Caenorhabditis elegans: one gene and its partners. The protein of the gene in region 1 purifies or fractionates together with the protein of each later gene. This does not show direct contact. Each region holds a gene or a part of one and is shown in the gene's direction. Other genes may lie near its edges.

Region 1 (7,926 bases):
ACCTGAACTTTTATATATTTTTGAAATTTTCTGATTTTGCGCGGTTAGATTTCCAGTATACAAAATTTTGAAAAAAAAAACCAAGAGATTCTAAAAAACCAATCGTAAACTAATTGTAAATTTTTTTAAATTTTCCCTAAAATAGGCTCCGCCAACTTCTTGGTTCCTTCACAAATTTTTCTAGTTTTTATCGGGATTTTTTTCGTTCTTGTATGCCGTGCTCAATGTTTTGTATTTATTGCTCTAAACTTCAGTATTGAAATTGCAAAGTGAGTATTTTTCCTTGTTTCTACTCTACATTTCGGCTCCTCCGAGCCCAATTCGATTGAGCCCATTTAATTATAGACTCGCCTTTCAAACTACTTATCTGCCTACCTTGAAATTGGAACCTCCTATTTTCTTATTTGTACCTACGTGGTTTCAGGAAGAGCTTAAACATTTTTTTTTTGAAATTTTGAGCAGGATTTTTTTTTGGAAAAAAAAATAGGAACAAAACTAACCTGCAATTTTTTTTTGCTGAAAAAGAAAAAATTTTTTAAAACTTCAAAACATAAATTTATTCCAGTTTCCAGAATTTTATTTTAAAAAGTTTTGAAAAAAAATTCCGTTTTGTCATCGTAAAATTATGGAAGAAATTGAATAACAAATTATTTTAGAAATGATTCAAAAAATGATCTAAAAACTTTAAAAACTTTAGCTAAAATTTTTTCAGAACTTTTCAGAATTATTATTTTAAAATTTTTCACACAGATTAATCCTGTATTTTTCGAAATTTATCACTACTATCAAAAAGTTTCCAATTGCCAAAATATTAAAAATGTTGTGATGACTATGTTCTTAGTTGACAGTTTTCTAATAAGACCAGTGGTTTTTGAGTTATGCACTAATAAGTTGTAAAAAAAAATTTAAAAAAATTAGTAGACTTTTTCCTCTACACTCTATTCTTTGAAAGATTAAAACCTCATCTAGACCTAGACCTCATTTTGTCAATCAAATTCCAAATTTTTCATCAATTCCCAATTCAAGTGTTTTATTCAAGGGTGCGGGGGTCCCCTTATACATTTCCAAAATCCGGGCGGCCTTTTCTCGCCCAACTTTTGACATGACCCGAATCCGCCCTCCCCTCCCTCTACCAGAGCCGAAATTTGAAGATAATACATTTAACGAGTCGCTTTCTCTTTTTTTCGTTTTTTTTTGCATTTTTTCACCCCTGACATGACGTTTCTTCTCCAGCCACAACTGCACATTGCTCTTTTTATTTTTTTGCAGAAGAGATTTAGAAAGCTAAATATGATAATTGCAAGATTTTCGCATTGTAAATAATAATTTAAATGTTTAATAAGCTTTAGAAAAATACAATTTTGAACCAATAAATGGGCGGAGCCTAGATTTAATTTTTTTTAATTTATTAATTAAACTATGGTGCCTTGTAATTTTTTGAAGTCATGAATATAAAAAAAAAATTATTTAAAAAATTAAAAAAACATCTGATTCTTTTTAAAAAATCACCCAACAATTGGGCGGAGCCTATTTTCGGCTTCTACGCAGTTTCCAAAAAATTTTTAATACTTTTTTTTCAAATTAATCTATGTATGATATAACTAGTACCAGTCTATTTTTGAGTTTACTCCTTTTATTATTTTTTTTAATTTTCAGGCTATCGACATCTTCTCTTTGGATCCGCCGCCGGAGAGCGAGACATCACTGGAAGCGGACTTCGTGATGGCACAGGCTGAGAATGCGTGTCGGTGAGTAATTGAAAATTATCACATGGATAATTATGCAAATTTTGAGTTTGAAACAAAACAATTTCACCCAAATTTTGATTCTCCGCTAGAGATGTTTTTGAAAAATTGAAAAATTTTGAGATTCTTGCCAAAGTTCTCAAAAAATTCAAATTAGAATTTTCCTCGCCAAAACTTTTTGAAATAGTAAAAATTATGATTTCCAGCCACATAATTCTGATATATGGACGAATATAATTTTGGGCCATTTTTTTTGCAAAAAATTAAATTAAAGAATACTCAACTTTGTAATGTCTTATAAAAATTTCTGAAAAAGTAAAATTTGAATTTTGTTTTTTTAAATCAAATTTGCTTTTCCGCCAAAAATTTATTAACAATTTTATAGTAAAATTTAAAATCTAAATTTAATAAATTTTCAAGTTTAAAAAATTCCACAACAAAAATTCTTAAAATTAAAGTTTAATTTTCCTTCCGGAATTCCCTAAATTAAAGTCAACATGTGACGTCACAGGCTATAAACTACAAACTTTGGACAAAAAAATTTCAGTGAAAAAACCCCCACAGAATCTTTGCAGCAGTAAGTGCCTTCCCCCTTTGTCTCTCTGCTCAGCCCAGCTAAAACCAAAAAAAATCACAAATTTTCTCCTCTCTCGGTCCTTTTGTCCTCTGAAAAAGTGCACACCACATCAGGGAAGCCTTCCAAAAAAACATTTTTCCATTTTTTTGCAGGCTGAAGCTTCTTCGAGCGGACGTTCCAGTTGACTTACTTCCGGCCGGATGTTCAGCAACTGATTTGCAGCCGGCTGTTAATGTGAAGGAGAAGATTGAAGTGAATGGTGAGTTATTAGCTTTTTTTGAAAAAGAAAAAAATTTCGAAAAATCTAAGTTCAAGGGGAACCTCTACCTAAAAAACAATTTTTATAACAATTAAAATATTTTTTTAAAAATTCGATTCGTGTGAATTTTAAAATAATTGTAGAAAAGCTACTGAAAAAACTGAATAGTCAAGAAGTGGGAGGGGCCTGTTTAATATCAAAGTTGAAAAGTTGAAAGAGACTCCGCCCATTTCTTGGTTTTTTTACAGATTTTTTAATGCATAAAATTTTTAATATCAATTAATAAGATTTTTTTAATTGACATTAATTGTTCTCAGTTGATATAATTTTTGCAAAAAAAGAGAGAAATCAATAAAATCATTTACTATATATAAAGTAGAGTTTTCTTCCGTCTAATGTAGGCTATGCCAACACGCAAAACTCACGTTAGTTTGAAAGTTTTCGTAAAATTTAAAATTTCATTTCAAAAAAAAATCAAATTCATTTAAATTCAAACCAAAAAAGTAATTCCGAGGGATATTCGAACTTTAGTTTGAGTCAGTCGGAGGAGGTCGAGCCGTAGGCTCGAACGACACCGGCTGGTACTATAAATAATTTAAGTTCAATATTAAAACAAAAAATGATTTGCGAAACATTTTTTCAATTAAAAAAATCAGAAGTTTTTTTTTAATTTTAGGAAATATAGTTTTAATAATTTTCAAACCCCAAGTGTTTTTTTTTTCAGAATTCAATGTGTACAAATAAATTTTTATTCAATTATTTATCATTTTCCAGGTGAATCCCGACTAGTCCAAAAGAAGAAGACCCTTTACCCGGAATGGGAAAAATGTTGGGATACCGCAGTTGCCGAGGGCCGAATTCTACAAATTGTGCTCATGTTTAATCAGACACCTGTGGTCGAAGCAACTATGCGATTAGAGGTTAGTTTTTTTTTTTTTTTTTTTGAATATTTTTAATTGAAAAATAAAAATAATTCAGTTTTTTTTTTCAAAAATTTCCAATTTTTTTATTAATAGTTTTTAGAAATTTTGCTGAAAAAAAGTGTCAGAAAAACCAAAAGTGACTAACTATATCCCACCCAAAGATTGGGCCGAGTCTCAAAAACCCAAAAAAAAAACTCAAATTTTCTGAAAACCTCTGAAAAAACCTCTCATGGCAATATCTTTTTTGGAAACACGGGATGAAAACAATTCCCAAAAAGTTCTACTCACGAATAGGTGTACCTTAAAATATTCCGCTTACAAAATGGCTCACCAATATGACGTAAAAAAGTGGATGAGCACATTTTGCCACGTGGCAATTGTCGTAGCTTTGTATGAGAAGTTGGCCCCATGGGACCACATCTTAGAAGATCACAGTGGCTCTTGGCTCTTAACGGAGCAAAATCTGCTGCTGGTGCTCTTGGCCATTTATTCGGCTTCACCACATTTTATGAGAGACCAACGACGAATTATTACCCTTTCCTTTTCGACTTTTATGGCGGTGTTGAGATTTTTGATTTTTGAAAGTTTAGGCGGAATTTTTTTTTTGTTTGAAAAATCACCAACGGAAACTATGACGCTTGTAGATTTCTTGTTGGGCTATGAACTTTTTTTATTTTCATTGCTAAAATTCAAAAAAAAACGAGAAAATTACAGAAAAAAGTAAAAACCCGCCAAAAAAAGCCAAGAAAGGGGCAGTGCCTAAACAAATTTGAAAAATGTTTACTGGTTTAGTTTCTTTTTGTTTTTGAGTTTTGAAAATCATTCCAACTATGCATATGCAGTTTGAAGAAGAATTTTATTTAAAGAAGAAATTCAAAATTTCAAAATAAGCTCCGCTCATTTCTTGGCTATTTTTAAAGTATAAAAGTTTTAATTTTTATTTAAAAAGGTATTTCCTTACTTTCAAAAAAATTAGTTGAAAAATTAAAATTTGCAAAAAAAATTTTTTTGAGAAATTTGGTTTGATTTTACCAAGTACATTGGAAATTCCTTTAAAAACACTGAAAAATATAGAAAAAAAGTAGTTTTTTTTTAATTCAGCAAATTTCTAGTTTTTTTTTCGAATTTAAAAACTTTTCCCGCCATTTTTGGCACTGTGTCAATTGAAATTAAAAAATTTTTTTCGACTGTAAACTCGAAATAATTTGAAGTTTGAATTGCAAATTATTCTTTGAATTTTCTAGAAAATCCTATCAAAATTTAAAAAAAATATATATTCAAATTTTTAAAATTCCCCAAACTTCTCTAACACCAACTAAATTGTTCTAATTACAGCTACTATATCGCCCATTTGGTAATAAAAAATTCCAAATTATCCCATGTGAGCCCCCTACTTCAGGAGCAAAGAGGCGTGGTCTAAATTTCGGCTCCTAAACTCCATTGCCTCCTAGATTTCTGGTTTTCTTTTCGAAGCTCGGTCGGTTGAGCAAATTTTGAAAAAATTGCTTTAAAAAAATGACCGAAGTTCTGAACGATATTTATGAGGCTATTAGTCTTCTAATTAAGGTAAGAAATTCGGATTGTTTGCCACGCACATTTTGTGGGCGGAGCTTATCACAGCTTTTGATTTTCAAAATGGTTTTCTGGCAGCATTAAGAAAATTTCAGAGTGGTCAGAAGTTAAAAAATTTTTTGTAAGTTCTATAGAACGGTTTAGAAAATTCCAAAAAAAAAAAATTAAAGATAGTTTTTAAAAAATTTCAAAATGTATAAGACCGGTTTAGAAAATTTCCAGAATTTTTCAAAAATTCCTAGAATTAAAAAAAATTATCTGAAAATTTGTGAAAATTCCAAAACATTCCCGAATTTTACATAATTATAATAATATAATTTTCAGAAAAGAGAAAATTCTCGTGATTTCTACATATAATTTTTTCAATGATTTTTCAGAAACTGAATAGAAAGCTGGAGAAAAATTCAAATCTTCTGTAAATTCTTACACTTGTGAATTTTTTCCTTTGTGAAAATTTTAAACCTTGAGTCCTGTTTTTTTTATTAACAGATAGTACCCAATAACTTAGTTTTACTTTGCCATTTTTCAAAAAGTATCCCAAAATCGCAGAGATTATACTAAAGTTTGTAAAAAAACGTTTTAACCCAAAAAAAAAACATATTTTCCGTACATTCTATTTCTGGGAATATTTTTGAGGAAGCCTTTTTCAATTTTTATGAATACCTTCTAGACGATGTAAAGTTATAAAAGTTTCTGAAATTTGGAATTTCAGAAAAATTCCAATTTTTAAAACCTTTTTTTTTCATTCGCCGAATAGCTTTTTATCTACTTCACTTGTAATCTTTCTCCAAAAAAGTGCAAACAAGCATCTTTATTCCCATGGGACCTTCTCCCCAACTCCGGAAGCTCCTCTTTTTCAACTTTTTCACCCCATTCACTCCTTTTTTAAGGATATTTTTATGCTTCTCTATTTAGAAAAAAAACAACATATAAAAAAGTTGGTCCTGAAAAAACGACAAATTGGCCAAGAGAAGTTCGAAAAACACAAAGACGGGGGCGGCGATTTTCATAAACCTGCGGAGCCGATTCGCCTCGGGCGGTGCCCTCTCCCCTCGTTTTCATTTTATTTTTTCCATATTTTTCTTGCTCAGTTTTGGAGCAGCTTCACTTCAACCCATAACGTTCGTAGTATTAGCCTACCTCAAAGTGACGTCATCACATTTTTTCGAGCTAACAATTTTTGGAAAAAAATTTAAAAAATTTTCAAACATTTCTAAAATGATTTTTACAGTTCCAGAAAATTTGAGAATACTTTAGAACTTGTTGGAAAGTTTCAGAATGCTCCAGAAAAATTCAGAATAAATTCGCATAATTTTCAAAAAAATACTCTAAATGTTTTTTTCGAGCTTTGAAATTTTGGAATTTTGTATAAAAACCTATCAAAAAAACAATATTGGAATTAGCTAAATTCTGTGATTTATGTTTTTAAGCAAAAAAAAATTGGTGGCCGAATTATTTTATTTCCGCGGCCATGTACATAAAGTCTATTTCCCTCCACTCCTGTGACGTCATGACAAGGTCCGCCGGAAGACAATAGTTACCAGAGGGACGAAGCACACCTCTTTGGTAGTTTTTCACAGCTTTTTCCCATTTAGAAACTTTTTTGGAAACTAGACTTTTTTTTTTTGAAAACTGAAATTTTTGGACACTTTATTTGTATTTTTAAATTTCCCAATTTTCCCCCGATCCTCTAAAAATTTCAGTGATCTGTTTTGACTTGGTTTTCTACAAAAAAATTTGATATCTCTCATCTTATCACTAAATTATCATCTATCACGCAATGTTTTTTGTGATACCTGGTGTTTGACTGAAAACATAAATTTTTAGGAACAAATTTGAGTGTTTAGAAAACTTTTTTTTCGAAACTTTTCGCATTTTACGCTGTGAAAAAATTTCAAATTCAGAATTCTGTGATTTTGGTAACTTCCAAGTTTTAATAAGATTTTTCAAATTTTTTCATAATTTTTCAAACTAATATAATTGTGAAAATCATCAATAATTCCAACTAAAATTTACAACAATTCTAAAATCGATTTTTTTAAAAATTCTATATTAGAATCTAAAAAATTTCATTTTAAGAAAGTTTTCGTAAATTTAAAATAAACATAATTAAAATAAATTTCATTCAAATTTTTCCCAATTTCTAGTTTGAAAAAAAAATTTAATTTTCAAATTTAAATATCGCTTCTAGATTTTTTCGGTAAATTTCAATTTTTCAACAAAAATTTTCGCTTTTAATAAACTTTTGTACATCAAAATTTCAATTTAAAGTCTTGTAAAATATCATATCTATAGAAAAATTTCTCAAATTCTATTCAAGTTTCAAAAATCCTCCTGACAGCTCAAACTTTGACCCAAATTTCCAAAAAAAAAATTCCATACACAAATTTTTGTCCCTTTTTTCTCTCATAAATTGGGTAACAACCACGGGCGGAGAATAGGAGAAGAGCTCTGAGGACGAGGATGGAGACGGGCGGTTAAAATTGAATTTCGGTTCGAAAAACATACTCGCCTTCGCCATTTTTCCAACAACCCCCGTTTTTCTTTTTTGTGTGTATTTGTGGGCGTGTAACTGACTGCCTGCCTTTTCAAATCACGGAATATAACCACCTCCGGATTTTTTTTTGGGATTTTTCTTAAACTTCTAGGCTTCGGGCTTATATCTCACAATCAGTTAGTACGAGTTTTTGAAAAAAAATTGCCAAATGGTAATGTGTCTATTGGATGTTTCTTTATATTTTTACAAATTGCTACATGAACCAATGTATGAGCTATCAACGAATAGAAATTTAAAACATGGTGCATCGACAAATTTTGAAAACTCCTTTTCTTGGTTAATTTTATGGTTAT
Region 2 (7,501 bases), on another chromosome or scaffold:
TAGTTTTAAAAATAATAATTTACCATAATTTTATGAGCGAGTAAAGGTAGAAGAACAATGTACCAGACAAAGTACTGACTTGTGCACACTTTGTTATATGTAACAAATGCGAAGGTGGTGATAAACCAGCAGAAGGGAAGATCATCGTAATGCTTGAAGGCGAAGAACACGATCAGCACAATTTGTGGAATGAATGCTCCGAGGCCGATGATCTGTGACATTGTCGGATTCGCTTCATACAGGTACAATAGGTAGAAGTACGGCGAGAAGTTATGGGCGAGATCTCTTCTTTTGACGTGGTAGATCAGATATTCATCGAGGAATAGTTGTCCGTAGATTTGGAAGAAGAATAGTACCACCGCTGCGAATGATGTGAGAGTTACCTAAATCTTTTTAACATTGAGAATTCCATGTTTTTAAGAAAAATAACTTACCAGCATATATGCGAAGCCTTTCCAGTTAGAAACCAAACTTTTAAACTTGTTCACAACACAACTTTGTTCTCCAATTGTTGAAAGACTCAGAAAAACTGATGGGAGATAAATCAATGGATAAATCTTCAATTGGATCGCAAGGGCGCCGTGAACTAGAGCTGCAGATTTCCAGTATCCTTTTTGAAGTAGCACAATATTCAGAAGCACGACTGCAGCAACAATAGATTCTGCATTTCCTCTGGCTGAGATGATAGCGGTCAGTGGATTCGCAAGCCAGTAAATCACGACATTCATTGTTTGATCATCTTTCATTTCTTCTCGTGTTTCGCTTTTTGTTTCGTTTAAATCTTTCTCCATTATTTTAAAATACAGAATCGCCACCAGGATGTCGAAAATGCAGAAGAGAATCTTTCCAAAGTCCGGGAAATGCACAACAGGCAAAAGAATCCATGCTAGCGCAGGCGTATATCGGTAAGTGGCTCTGTCGAATGGGCTTCCACCGTTTGAGACATGTTTGGCAGCGTCGGAGAACACGTGATAGTCGATGTCTGTGAAATTCACCTGAAACACTGAGTTTAAACTTATTTTGATGATGTAAAATTATCAAACCTTGAATAGATAATCGTGAATGTGTGCGTAGAAAACGAGAATTATCCTTGCCACGAATGCCACTAGTAAAATCTGGAAGAACATCATTAATTCGATGAATTCGTTGAAAATAGACAAATTACCTTATTTCGATTGAACGTTTCGTTCTTCACAAAACTCCGGACACATTGCATTTGTGGAGAAAACTGGAATATATTCGAATATATAAATGCTAAAAACCAACAAAGAATTTGTTAAAAATTGAAAAATGCAAGTGTGCTCTAGCGCAAATTTTCAACGGAGGGAACTTGAAAATTAGTTATTTTCGGGCAAACTTGTCGCAATTTTAATTGCTTCTTTCTTTCTTTAGATATCTCGCTTTTATTCATTTTTTACTAATCTTATATGTTTTGAAAGAATTATTTGTTAATCTTCATTATGTTTTCCCGGAAAAAATTAGCAAGAATCGAGTAAAACGGGTCTAAAAACGCGCTGCATATTACATGTAATCCTATTCTAGACAAACAAGTCATGCGTTTTCTTGTTATTCCCAATTTTGCAACAAGACGCAGAGACAAATTTCAAAATCATCAAAAGTCCAATAAAAGAATGCTTCCTTGCCCCGGAGACGCAGAGAATTTTCTGGCCGCTTTCGTTATTTCGTCTCTGTCTCTTTGTCCCGCGTGCTCTTTCTCGTGAATATAATCTGCGACTCTAGTAATTTTAGCACTATCTCTCATGTTCGTTTCGATTTTTGCGCCACATTCGACTTCATTTTTCGTTTTCCAAAACTTCTTTCAAAACAACTTTTTCGCATTAATTTGTTGTCTTCCTCACTCTTTTGAATTCAAAAACGAAAATTTTAAACCACCGATTGCAATTGTTACGAGATGCAAAAACCCGACGAATCGAATGAAAAACGTAAGAACAATTCAAATTATATTTTAAAATAATTATTATTAGTTTCAGATGATATTCCTTGCACATCAGCAAGCCTTCTCGACCATTTGATTCAGAAGGAAGCTTCTGCAGCAGAGGACACTGATCCCTTGGATCATATTGGCAATATAGGAGAAGCTATCATTGGACAATTTTCGTCTGGAGCAGATGTTGGAACCGAAATTCTACAAAATGCTCTCAAAATGTTCGATCAAGCAATGGCCTACACGAATCCACAGGCTCCACCAAAACGAAAATATAAACGAAAAGAAGCTCCGATAGAGGATGCTCAACCTACCACGACTTCATCAGCTACGCTAGCTTCCTTGCTCACTCTCAATCCGGTTCCAATTGAATCTAGTGCGAAAAGATTCCATCAAAATGATCTACGAGCTGGTTTTTCGCCACGTACCAAGTTCGACGTGGATTGTTCGGATTTCTTTCTTCTACAAGGATCTGATGCTGACACTCAATTCAATAATCTCCACAAGAAGCTCGAGAAGGAGAGAACGCAGATGTTTGATGATCAAGTTTCGAAAGATGTTGAACGACTTCTAAATACCGCAAACAGAGTTCACGGTCCCCGAGAATGGACTGCCGAGGAGAAAGCCGAATTCACTTCATACTGTAGAAGCTGGCGCAGTGGAGCATTAGGGGCCGATGACAAGCTGAATCTTCAGAAATTTTATTCAAAAGCGTACGGAAAAGTTTTCCAAGGACTGAGCGAAAATAAAGCTTCATCGGAGGAATCAGCTATCGATTTTTCTAATTTCATGGGTGTCGGTAGTGAAGATCCTGCTAATCAAACAGAAGACGTACCAGGTGGAAGCTGCAAGGCTTCTCCCGACAATTTCTCATTCTCTACTTTGAATCCAAGAATGAAATACGAGAAAGAGAAAGAATTTCGGTCCGCTATCAATAATATATTCACGGAAGTTTTCAAAGAATGTAAGTGAATATTGTAAAAGTTTTTATTCAAACAAAATTCTTTATTTTCAGTTCACTCAAAGAAGCAATTCATTCCCAAACCAACTCGCCTGGACGTTCCGCCGTGCGAAATCGAGCGGGAGCATTTATCAATGCTGATGTCAAAGTTCAGTATAGCTATGGACGATCCAGAAAAGGAATGGAATGTTGATGAGCTTCAGGAACTGCGTCGATTCTATACATTATTTCGAGAAAAAAATCATTTGCCATTCGTTCAAACTAAGGAATTCGGAAAATTTCTGCGTAAAGCATTTGGAAGACTAGAGCATTATGAGCTTCAACGAGGTTTTGCAATTAATTTATGGAACTTATATGATTGTTAGTTATTTCAGAAAATGACACTTCTCTTCAAGAAAAACGAAAATTTTGGCAAGAATACAGGAAAACGCATGTACCACCGAAAAGAGGTGATTTCTAAAATAAATTTTCACATTTTATCCCAATTTCGTACATTTCAGAGCGAAAAGCGTGCGCGGCTAGAACCACACCAGTAAGACCTTATATAAAATCGAATATTGATACAAAAGGAGAAACTGAAGAAGAGAGAAGATTGCGGAGAGCTGCGTATCTTCGAAAGTGGAGGCTAGGTAATATAACATTTTTGTAATAATACATTTAACAAATTATCGATTTTTCAGCTCAAAAAGAGAAGCATTCAGCAGACGTCATGTCACAGTTCAAGCACCAGGAAGATGTCGCCTTGTGATTTCTTTGTTTAATATTAATCAACTTTTTGTTCGCATCTCAGGAAATGTTCTTTGAAAAATAATTTGTTAGATAAAATTTATTTTAATCCGAATAAATATTTTATAATCTTTTTACTTATAGTTAATACAAAATTATAAACTCTAAGAGCTTTCAAAAAGCAAAAACCGCAAAATTAAATGCAAAAAGAAATTACAAATAAATCGTTTTTGAAAATCCGCGCAAGGACGAAGTATGCGCTAACATATGATTGTTGGCGCGTTTCTCATTCCTTGCGCGTTTCCCGTCTCGGCCGATTAATTTTTCAGTGTATTTTTTTCTGTTTTTGTTTATTTTATCCGCATTTGAATACATATTTTTGGCTTATCTTCTTTGGAATTTTTTGAAAGTATCTATGAACAATTTTTTATTGTTATTTATCAATCGATTTTCAGGTAAAATGGGCCACGGAGAAGAACCATTGACCGCCACGTATAAAACGCAGAGACCTCCATGGATCGGTCTTTGGAGTGATCGTGAATAGTAAGCTTTATTCTTTTTCTACTTTTGAAATTAAATCTAATTCAATAAAATATTTTAAAATGGTAAAATTTGTAATTCAGCAAGGGACGTGCCGACTGGTGGAAGGAGCCAGGACTTGAAGACTCTGTCACGCGTTCTGGAAAACTTCGTCTTTATCGTGCTCGTTTCCGTGAGGAAGATCCAGATTGGTATGATCCAAAGGTACAGTTAATTTATTTTGAGTGATATTCGCTAATTTTTTGCGTTTTCAGGTAAAAGACGGAGAATCCCTGGCCGGACCTTTCGGACTCGATTCCAAGAAGACCAAAAATCTCACCAAAAAAGGAGATCAGCCAGGAGAGCTGTCCGAATTCCAGAACAAAGTTTACGAAGGATCCCACCAGTTTAAGGCTATCGCTGAAAAGTTTGGAATCAGCAAAGAGCATCCAGGACTATCCGTTAGTCCAACCTTGAGCGATAATATGCTAAGTGAGGAATAATTAAAATTTTATTATAAGTATCCTGCTACAAAACTTTTTTATTTCCAGCTCCAAAGGACGAGTTAGGCAGAAACGCCGTGTTGCCAAACTCTTGGTATCCTGCCGGACCCCGTTTCTTCGACAGTCCACTCAATGAGGGATCTTTCTGGAAAGGACTTGCCGCCGCCAAGTATGCTGGAATTTTGTGTAAGACTAGATTAAGATTTAAAAAATGTTCACGATAATCATAAAACATAATTTCAGTGGCTCCATACACTATGCTGGAAATCCGTGCACTCAATACAGTCTCGGTATCCGAATTCTCGCCAAGAACCTATATGAAGAGATACCTCCAACTCGCTCCATTCCCATTGGCCGTTGCATTCGCCTGGGGCTTCAGTCTTTCAGCAGCCTCATCGATCCGTCATAAGGATGATGTCCATAATCATTGGTTCGCTAGTGTTGCTGTTGGATCAACCGTGGCTACCATGAGTATGTTTTGTTAAAAATTGTAAGCCAATTTGGCGAAATGATCAAAAAACGTGGTTTTCAGAGCGTAGAAAAAAATTTTAATTCTATTTAAATGATTTCTTATGTGTTTTCATCAGATTTTCTGTTAAATTCGAAGAAAATCACATGGAAAAAATTTAAAACAGAAACTAATATATTTTCGTAATTTTCCAAAATAGAAAAAAATCAATTCAAAAAATTATCTTTCATGGTAGCAGCCACATTATCATTGTATCTCATAATCAATTAGTTCTGATTCTGTCCGAAAAAATATTTTGTTCGAAATATTTTAATAAAAATTAGTCTGAAAATAATAAAAATTCGGCTTAAAATATGAATATTTATTTTTAAAATTTAACAAAATTCTCTGTAAATCTGGCAAAACTTGTACATTTTTATTTTTTAACAAATAAAAAATCTAGACACAAAATCAAAATCTGATTGTCCTGGTTAATTCCTGAAAAATTTAATTTTTCGTTTCAAAACCACTATTTTTCCAGAGAGCAACGTTGCCCTTGGAACCACTGCCGCCATCTTCACCGCCATCCTCGGAGCATTCTGGCAGTATCAACGACACTCGGAGACTGGACTCCAAGGAATGACTGCTCATCCACAATCTGCCGGAATCTGGGGAGGACCACTTCTTTGGCAGAAGATGCAACTTGGAAATGCCGATGTTCCGACCACACGATACTGATTGGATTTTTGAATTTTTTCTAGCTTCGATTCTACAATCATGTATAAGATTTTTAGTTTTCGAGAAAGAAGCATATAGCACTCAAACTTTAATTTTTTTTTTCTTCTTTTCTGCTCTTTTCCGAATAAAATCAGCGGTCATAGCATGAAAATAGTGTCTGTGAGTCGAGACACCGGGGGAACAACAACACAACGAATCGATTGTTTCACACGCTGGCTCCCCACCCCGCTCCGTTGTCCTGGTAACAACAAGAAGCGGGCGGTTCTTAAGAAGGGATACGCGTAGCAGCACACATACATACAAACTCGCATAACTTATTCCCTCTTGCTGGTCAAAAATGTCGTTTCTTGTGCTCTTTGGAGCACTTCTTCTCATTCAGACTTCTGAGCAGATGGTTCAATGCAGGTACACGAAGAATTTGACAAATCGAGCAGATGGTGAGTTTGGAAATTCCGAAATACTTTTTTTTTAATGGTTTTGGAAGGAATAACGTTGCCCACGTAACTCTCGGAAGTGAAAATTCAAATTAAAAAAATTTGCGAATTCTTTTCTTTTTTTGCATTTTGAAAACTGCGAAATTTAGCGATTATTATCGCAAAAATACGATACCCGGTCTCATCACGACAAATTTGTGTTAAATGCAGAAAAGGTGTGCGCCTTCAAAGAGTACTGTAGTACTGTAGTTTCAAACTTTCGTTTCTGCGCAATATTAATCGACTTTTGATAGAATTTCGATACTTAAAAATGCACTTTTTTATTAAATAAATTTCAAAATCTAGAGAAAATCTATGAAAAATCCGGCAGTAGCAAGAGTTTGAAGTTACAGTACTCTTTAAAGGCGCGCACCTTTTCTCAATTAACACAAATTTGCCGTGTCAAGACCGGGTACCGTATAGTTTTCTTACAATTAATTGAAAAACTGAAATAAAATACATGACTTTTTTTTTAACCCATGAATAACACAAGAAAACAATGAAGAACTTCGGTATTCTTTAAAGGTGCACATTTCTTAGAATTTTTGAAAATCGTTCGTTTCGAGACCCTCAACCGTACTTTTGGGCAAGCTTCCATCGAACCAAGGAATTACATTTCAAATTTATTTGGAGATCACGATCATTTTCTGTTTACGCATGACTGAGCGCTTTGACTCATTAGTTTTGACGGCTAAAAGTTGATATGTTGATCTTTATATTACGCAGACGTCGGAAGATGATCATTTTTTCCATATTTTTGGGTCTCGCCACGCTGAAAACAAATTACAGTAACTCGGGCCAGGGGCCAAGGGCCGCTTTTGCATGTCATTCTAATTAGAACGTGCGTGGCCGAGTTTCTCTTTTCGCGGGCACCTGGAAAATTTTTTTGGGTGGTCTCACAGCATAACCCAAATCTTTGTTTTAGGAGGAGATGAGCACTGTCTATTCTACTATCTTCTCAACAAGGAATACGAGAAATCTGGCAGCGTACACTCACTAAGCGCATATCCTCCAAATTCCGACGAAATGACGATTACTGTAATTATGATTTTCAGAGGAGACTGAAGTTTAAATATTTATATTTTCAGATAGAAAATGTGCTTGTCAAATACGTGGAATTGGTGAAAGGATCTAGTTATCAATTCAACGTTTTTGGAGATATTTATCTGGTAGATGGGATGACAAAAG
Region 3 (7,807 bases), on another chromosome or scaffold:
ACATAAGGGGTCTCGCCGCAACAGAAACAAATTTTAAGAAAAAAAAAACTCCCAAATAAACAAAGCAGAAACGAAAATTACAGAGAATAATTTATTACAGAGAAGAAGAAAAGGCAATACGCGAGTAGTCATATGAATAGTTTCCGATCTTTCGCGTGTCTTTCTTGACATCGCGGAGTGTCACCGATGTCATGATCTTCAGCTCGGCTTCAATGAGAACTAAATCTGCTTTGTCAAAGATGGCGGCCATCTCGTTGATTGAATCCAGTGTCGCTTCTCTGCCTTCCTTCGTCATACATGAGTCATAGTAATTCTCATAGTAATTCGGATCCGACCTAAATCAAAAGATAAATAATATTCATGCTAAAGTAGACTTACTTTTCTGCTTTCATCCAGATATCTATAACCTGAACCGCCTGCTTGCTGCTCAGTCCGAAACAAATGACCTCCATCAAACTGCTCTTTGCTTTGTTCGATTTGATAAGAATTCCAAAGTGCTTCAAAAAGAACTCCACCACGCAGATCGAAGCAGCTCCCCGCGCTTTTATTTCAAATTGATCAATGTCTGGTGGGCTCATGTTTGAAAACTCCCTCGCCTCCGTGATGAATTTTTCGAAGTTTTCTTCCTCGTGAGCAGCCTATAATTGAAACTTTTGTGAGGGAATTAATTAAGAAAAAATTACCTCGGTCTGCCAACCTTCTAAGTCGTCTATATGTACGCCGCTCTTGAAGATGCTGACCACTTCGTCTAATTTATCATTGGGAATCATGATTTCAATTCCATCAACAACAATCATTTTTTTTCGACATGTCTGCGGAACTCTGAAAAATGGAAATTATGATATTATCAAATTTTAAAACTGACTCATGAAACGTGCCTTTTCTTTGACATGATTAATATTATAATTGATAAATATTTAATATAAAACGGACAAATAGAAAAAGAAAGCACTATTTTCGAAAAATTCGCATTAAATAAATCAATGAGCATTTACGATAAACAAGGAGTGCTAGTGTTATTACAGAGTGTCGTATGTGCACTCCTCTCGGAATAACTCTGCGTATCTCACCCAGTCACAGTCTCTCGACACATCTGGTGAAACACATTCCTGCAGCTGTAGGAATCTGAAAAAACTGTGACTCTAATTAATCGAGAACCTGAAAATGTGTAAAATCCAAAACCGAGAACAAATTATAGACTTTAATGCTATTTCAGAAACACGATTTTCAGACATTTTTCTTCACGTGTACCACCTGCTCGGCGAGCTTAGACTTCCGGTTGACAGGAGTTCTTAATAAGATTTTTGATGTTTGATAAAACATAATAATGAAACGTTTAATTATGTCATTGAATTACTCACACTCGACATATCGTTTTCCCTAAAGGCGCACAGATCTTTGACAAATCACCAAAATGCATACCTATGCATCCACCTATACCACCTACCTACTACCAAATTGAACAAGAACATTCTTTTTAAATATAAGTCTACACTGATAGTGAGCCAGAAAATCACATGAATAGACGTATGCAAAAGCTTATGGCGTAAGAAAGACAAATGAGACTTAGGAAAGGGGAAGGTCTGCCTACCTTCCTGCTGATAGATTTAGATTAGGGTCATCTGCTTTGACAACTGTAACTTTTATCACATGGTATATCCTTTCCTTATAGCATCTGCCAAATTGATTCGGCTTGCTAGTTCTGTCAGAAAACCTCATCCATTACTCACATTTTTTCACAGCTCTTCATTTTTACGTCGTCATTAGGCAGGCTCGTCTGTCTATTCTTACTTCGCATCTAACCAATTACCGCTCTGTGCCCTTGAGAGCAACTTGAAAGAAACGCAGAGAAGCACGGGCTTGACAACACGCTCAAATCTCACACATAGTTTTGTCTATGCAGCAGTCACCCTCCCATGCATGTATATATCAAACCACCCATTATCACTTTTTGACCATCAGATGTTTCAATTCTTGCATTGTTTTATTCTTGAGTTGAACAATCTGACCCAAGGTTCCGTGTCTCCATGTGAGCATGGCAACCAAAGTAAATCAGCACTTTTACACCTGCCTACAATCACTTTCGATTAGCCTTCACTGTCGATAGACGGGGAAATGACGAGTGAATCAAAGAGTTGTTCTTATATCAACTAGAGAAAGTTTCTCCATTTTTGTATAATCCTTGAATTCTAGACTCGAGCCCACCTTTTTGAACCTTTGAGCCAGACGAAATGGCAATATTTACAAAATCTCATAAGTCTCATCGTTGTGTCGAAGTTTTATTCTGGAAATTTATACAGAAATATATAAAACTATTTATTTGTGCTTTATAAAGATATCTCACTTCTTATTAATAGATTTAAAAAAGCGGCTCAAAAGCTGACTCTAAGGTGCTATAGGCACATAGCGATTTTAATAGTAGATTTTGGCCAAATTTTTGAAATTTTTGATAAAAAGTAACTATTATTTCTTTATATTTCTGTATAAATTTCCGAGAAAAAACTTCGACACAGCATATTCTCATTTAAAAGTTCCCTAAAATAGTGCTCATCAATGTGCATCGATTTATCTATGTATATACCTTCTTGTTATACATCTCATTATATTCAGAGAACATAACGCTAATAAATAACAATCTACGTATCGCCAACTCGATTTCCTGTGGGACTTGATTGTTTTCATGTTTTTCTTCATTTTTGGGCCCACATCAAATTCCTTCTTCTACTCTCAATATACCTATCATACACAGTTTATATAACTAAAAAAAGTAGTCTGTGAATAGAAAACTATTATATAAAACTAGGCAGGTGATTTTTGAGAGGTTTTAATTTAGGTTTCTCTATGTTACAAAGACACACATATCCTCCCCCTCCAAATTCAATTATTTTTTCCTTTCTTTTCTTCTCACTTCTGCATATTTTTCTTTCATTTAATCAGCATTCCAGGCGCCATGGTTCTTGAAATTGTGTTTTTTACCTCGTGTCTGATCCTTTCGGTTGTCGGAGTTTACCTCAATCTGTGCTACCTCAGAGCCACACATCGATCTACGGTCTATCCAAAGTTTACCGGAAATAATTTACGGTTTTTGTCCGTTGCTCATATTGTGCTGGCTTGTTCAAATGTTGTGGCCGCTGGTGAGTTTATATAGGCACAAAATGAAGACCCACTTGCCTACAGAAATGGGATTTCTTGCTCGAGTATAACTGTAAACGATATCTTTTTGTCAAACTTTAGCCCAAAAAATCTTCACTTGTATCAAAACTTTGGCAAGTTCAGGAAGTGTAATGCAATTAGTCCAAGTTAGATCCAACTCTTGCCAATGTAGTCCGAGGTTTGGCAAAAGTTAGATTATACTTGAGACGTGTCCTTTACTAACCTCAACTTTTGTCAAAATTTTGCCAAAGATAAAGCCGTGTTAATATTTTTTGGCAAAACCTATCTAGTAAGACAAGAAGCTGGCTCACAACGCCGAGTTGGTCACGCACTTGTCGTAGGTACACAATTATATGTATGCACACTTGTTTGCTATGTGCATTTCACAATTTTGATGATAATACGGATATATTTTGATCTTTAAACCTTGAAACTAATATTTCTGATTATTTTTCTAAAATAAACCTTTCCAGCTGCAATGTGGGGTGCCAACGTGAATCGCACGACAAAATCCGAAGCCTTCTTCTCGACAACTCTATCAGTCAGCCGTGCTATTCCAGCACTCACTGTGTTTTGGACAACTGTTGAACGGATAACGTACAATCGGAGTCCAACGATTCGAGAAAGTCCCAAGTTTCGATATGTGGCAGTTTTCCGGGTGGGTATCAATATTTTTATTACAATAAATATTAAATACAAATACTAAATACCTTTTATAGGTCATCGAAGTAGTGGTCTCCGTAATTATGGAGATGATTATTCGAGGAATCTATTTGAATAGTGATGATCAACTCAAAGAAGCTGCTGGACTTGAAGTTCTTCAATCTTCAAATGATGAAATTTCAATCAAAAGTTCACTCATCGCGAATGTATACTACGACTTCTATCACGGAATATTGTTTTTGCCATGTATTATAGTAAGTATCCTGTTTTGGCTAGTTTATATATTCAACAGAAAATAAAAATCCTATGTTTAGTTCCCTTAGAAAAAGTCTCACGCATGTGACGCAATTTCAACAAAACTTAAATAAACATATTATAATTATTATTTTGAATTTCAGATCTCGGTTCTCATGTTCAAATCGGCAAAAGGTTCTCACACTCGTGCCTGCCTACTCGGTGGAATGAGAAATGACCAGAAAGTGAGTTTTTTGAGGATTTATATTCTAGTTTTACATTTGACATCAATTTTAGATCCAAAATCTCAGTGGACAAATGACGTTTTTCAAAAATTCCTACATCATGCTGTACATCGCTTGTTTGGCCGACTTCATCTTGCATGTAATTGTCAAGAGATTTATAAATCTAGGTGAGTTTAATATGAAATAAAGATCAGAATAGTCTGAAAACTAAACTTCTTTCAGAAGATTCCACGCTTGATATGATGTACATCAATGCTCGATGCTTTCTTCCAATTGTTTACCCATTATCACTAATCGCTAACAACAAAAATCTCCGAATCGACTATTTCGGAAACTTCATTCTCTGTCGAAAAGCCAGAAATCTGCATAAAGAGTCCAAAGTCAAGGTCATTGCAACACGAGAATCACAAGAATCCATCATTGCCAACTTGAAAATGATCGGAATTCTCAGTGACGTGGATACCTCTCAGGGTGGCGCTGGTGCTGCAAGCCTCGCAATGATGGGAATGGGCGGAGGAGGTGCTCCAAGACCTCCCAGTGGAGGTCGAATGGCTTCTATATCCAAAGATCCTAATTCAATTACGTCTTCCGGAAGTCTAGCTAAGCAAAGTACAGCTTCAATGGGCAGTGGTGGAGCTTCGGGTATGATGATGTTCCACACGAGGCCTAAAAGTTCGGTACCATCGATGGGATCTGTTGGGTGATCAACATATAGATACTATGTATTTTAATTATTCGTTCATCGGCAATTCTAATAAATGTTATCTTTTTGAGTTTAAGTTTTTCCTGTCTATACATTCCTGTACCATATGATAGTGAGACATGTCTATATAAATGTCTGACTAGATCTCGTGAATGAATAACAAAAAGTTGGTTATTGGCCATCTATCATAACAAAATAGCAAAGTTAATCAAATAATTGAAACAGATCAGAGCACAATTTGTGTTAAATATCAACAGCAGGGTTAGGTAAAACTTTCGGGTTAGGAATACATTAATATCTAGTCATTTCAACCACATTTTTATATACATATGAAAGTACGTTTGAAAATTTGCTGACTTATTGTAAGATGTGCTTGTTATTTTATCAAAAATACTTGATTTTTTCTGGTTTCCACTAGATTTGACTTTCTTGCGCAATATGACACAAAGCCTTGCCCACAAAAATGCCTGGCAATGTTACTTCCAGAGTTGCTAAACTAAATTAAGTTAATCGGTGATTTCTTCAAATCTGCAGACCAAACTCCAGAAACTGGCTACAGGATAGACTAGAGTTAGTGGTCTTGATATCATCATTGTAATCCAATTACTCACTGATTCTGCGCAAGGAGTCACAAAATCGTCGAGACGGAGACACAAAAAGTGTGTCAGATAGTTGCCGTTTTTGTGTCCGATTTCTTGTAAATATAAAAACAAATTTTATTTTTGGAAATATTTGTTTAAAATATACAGACTTCGTTTACAAGAAAATACAACTAAATGAGTGTTATTTTACTTGCTATTCCAACTTTGTTCATTGGTTTTATCAGGTATTTTTTATTTATTTCTCAAAGCTAAATATATTTATTTAAGTTACTACCTCTGGATATGGACATATTGGAGACGGCGTGGTATCCCTGGACCTCTAGGTTATCCATTAGTTGGAAGTTTTCCAAAAACTCTCAAATCAGAATATCCTCAATACTTACAAATCAGAGATTGGACAAAACTTTATGGTCCAATATATGGATACACTGAAGGAACCATTAAAACTCTAATTGTTTCTGATATCGACATTGTTCGTCAAATTTTTGTTGAGCAGTATGACAACTTCTATGGTAGAAAACTGAATCCAATTCAAGGTGATCCGGAAAAAGACGAGAGAACTAACTTGTTCTCGGCTCAAGGATTTAGATGGAAAAGGCTCAGAGCTATATCTAGTCCTACTTTTTCGAATAACAGTTTGAGAAAAATCAATGTAACTGTGGAAGACAGTGCGATGGAATTATTGAGACATATTGAAGAACAAACTTCGGAGGGACAACAAATTGATATGTTACAGTGAGTTTTCGATGTATTGGAAAAGTAATTTAAATTTTAAATTACAGATTCTACCAAGAGTTCACAATGGATACTATAGGACGAATTGCAATGGGTCAGACCGACTCGCAAATGTTCAAAAATCCACTTTTGAAGTTTGTCAGAGCGGTTCGTTTTGGTACTATTACCAGTGAAATTCAACATATATTTCCAGATATTCGGAGATAATCGAAAGCATATTCCCCTCATCGGTGGAGTTTTTCCTACTCTTGCTCAAGTTTTTCGATTTTTTATGTTGAAATTTCCATTGTTGGGAGCAGCCAATTTCATTCACGTCAACAAAACTGTTGTGACAGCCGTTCAAAATCGTATAGATCAGAGGGAGAATGATAGAAAAAATGGAATTGAAATCGGAGAGCCACAGGATTTTATCGATTTATTTTTGGAAGCAAGAGCAGATGATGTGGAGCATTTTCAAGAGAATAATGGGGATTTTTCAAAGACTAGTAGCTATGTGAGTTTCAGGAGAAAAATTATTCCTGAATTTAAAAAATTGCAGGGAAACCGTCAACTAACAACTCAAGAAATAGTCGGTCAGTGTCTCGTTTTTTTGATTGCTGGCTTCGATACAACTGCTCTATCCTTATCCTATACTACATTTCTCCTAGCAACACATCCAGAAGTTCAAAAGAAATTACAAGAAGAAATAGAACGAGAATGCATAGAACCATCAATTTCATTTGATCATCTCTCAAAACTAAAATACATGGATTGTATTATCAAAGAGACTTTACGTTTGTACCCTTTGGGAACAATGTAGGAGTTTTAAATTTATACTTCACATAAAAAAACAATTATTCCAGGGCGAACTCTCGGAGATGCATGAGAGCCACTAAATTGGGAAATGTAGAAGTTGAAGTTGGAACAATGGTTCAAGTAGATACTTGGAGTCTTCATACTGATACAAAGATTTGGGGAGATGATGCGAAGGAGTTCAAGCCAGAAAGGTTTTTTTTTCAAAATTAAAAAATATATTCAGATGTATTATTGGCTTAATTTTTGAAAGTTTTAAAAAGCGAATCACTTTGGAGAGTATTCCACCTTTTAAATTATTTAGTAAGAGATCCTACTAGTTATTATTTCAGATGGCTTGACCCCAACTGTGACCAAGTTTTCCAAAAAGGAGGATATATTTCATTCGGATTAGGACCTCGTCAGTGCGTTGGAATGCGATTGGCTTATATGGAGGAAAAGATGCTCTTGGCTCATATTCTTAGAAAATATACATTTGAAGTTGGCACCAAGACAGAAATCCCATTGAAATTAGTTGGAAGAGCCACGACTCAACCGGAAACTGTTTGGATGCATTTGAAGCAAAGGATATGAACTCAATAATTTTCGACCCTCTTTGTTTGTATTTTAGTCATCGAAAAAGCTTTCAAATAAAACTTTCTTGCTTTTTAGAGTCTGAAAATGTTCAGCCTATTTTCTGA

What was found.
Region 2: the proteins of tpa-1 (region 1) and nduf-11 fractionate together in Caenorhabditis elegans (co-fractionation; one large-scale study listed by BioGRID). This does not show direct contact.
Region 3: the proteins of tpa-1 (region 1) and ZK1320.5 fractionate together in Caenorhabditis elegans (co-fractionation; one large-scale study listed by BioGRID). This does not show direct contact.

The regions. Positions count from the first base shown.
Region 1 is NC_003282.8:90,330-98,255, forward strand, and holds the start of tpa-1 (Protein kinase C-like 1), read left to right. Parts: upstream 1-1,650; 5' UTR 1,651-1,722; coding exon 1,723-1,748; intron 1,749-2,292; exon of another isoform or gene 2,293-2,322; intron 2,323-2,474; coding exon 2,475-2,581; intron 2,582-3,355; coding exon 3,356-3,501; intron 3,502-7,926. UniProt on the Caenorhabditis elegans protein: Diacylglycerol (DAG)-dependent serine/threonine-protein kinase that phosphorylates a range of cellular proteins. Phosphorylates mlk-1, a component of the JNK pathway. Involved in axon regeneration after injury probably by activating the JNK pathway.
Region 2 is NC_003280.10:11,342,207-11,349,707, reverse strand, and holds nduf-11 (Complex I-B14.7), read left to right. Parts: upstream 1-4,087; 5' UTR 4,088-4,092; coding exon 4,093-4,175; intron 4,176-4,255; coding exon 4,256-4,376; intron 4,377-4,426; coding exon 4,427-4,643; intron 4,644-4,702; coding exon 4,703-4,840; intron 4,841-4,897; coding exon 4,898-5,125; intron 5,126-5,643; coding exon 5,644-5,840; 3' UTR 5,841-5,987; downstream 5,988-7,501. Other genes in the region: pigm-1 (GPI alpha-1,4-mannosyltransferase I, catalytic subunit), read right to left, coding at 24-383, 435-995, 1,044-1,115, 1,166-1,216; B0491.6 (DNA helicase), read left to right, coding at 1,913-1,943, 1,986-2,909, 2,961-3,233, 3,281-3,355, 3,407-3,535, 3,587-3,654; lgc-20 (Neurotransmitter-gated ion-channel ligand-binding domain-containing protein), read left to right, coding at 6,178-6,277, 7,239-7,351, 7,402-7,482.
Region 3 is NC_003280.10:9,660,808-9,668,614, reverse strand, and holds ZK1320.5 (uncharacterized protein), read left to right. Parts: upstream 1-2,937; 5' UTR 2,938-2,950; coding exon 2,951-3,134; intron 3,135-3,626; coding exon 3,627-3,811; intron 3,812-3,872; coding exon 3,873-4,070; intron 4,071-4,214; coding exon 4,215-4,295; intron 4,296-4,347; coding exon 4,348-4,462; intron 4,463-4,517; coding exon 4,518-4,999; 3' UTR 5,000-5,069; downstream 5,070-7,807. Other genes in the region: ZK1320.11 (BTB domain-containing protein), read right to left, coding at 95-335, 379-638, 684-822, 879-991; cyp-13A10 (Putative cytochrome P450 CYP13A10), read left to right, coding at 5,775-5,824, 5,868-6,335, 6,383-6,482, 6,529-6,828, 6,874-7,130, 7,178-7,321, 7,460-7,700.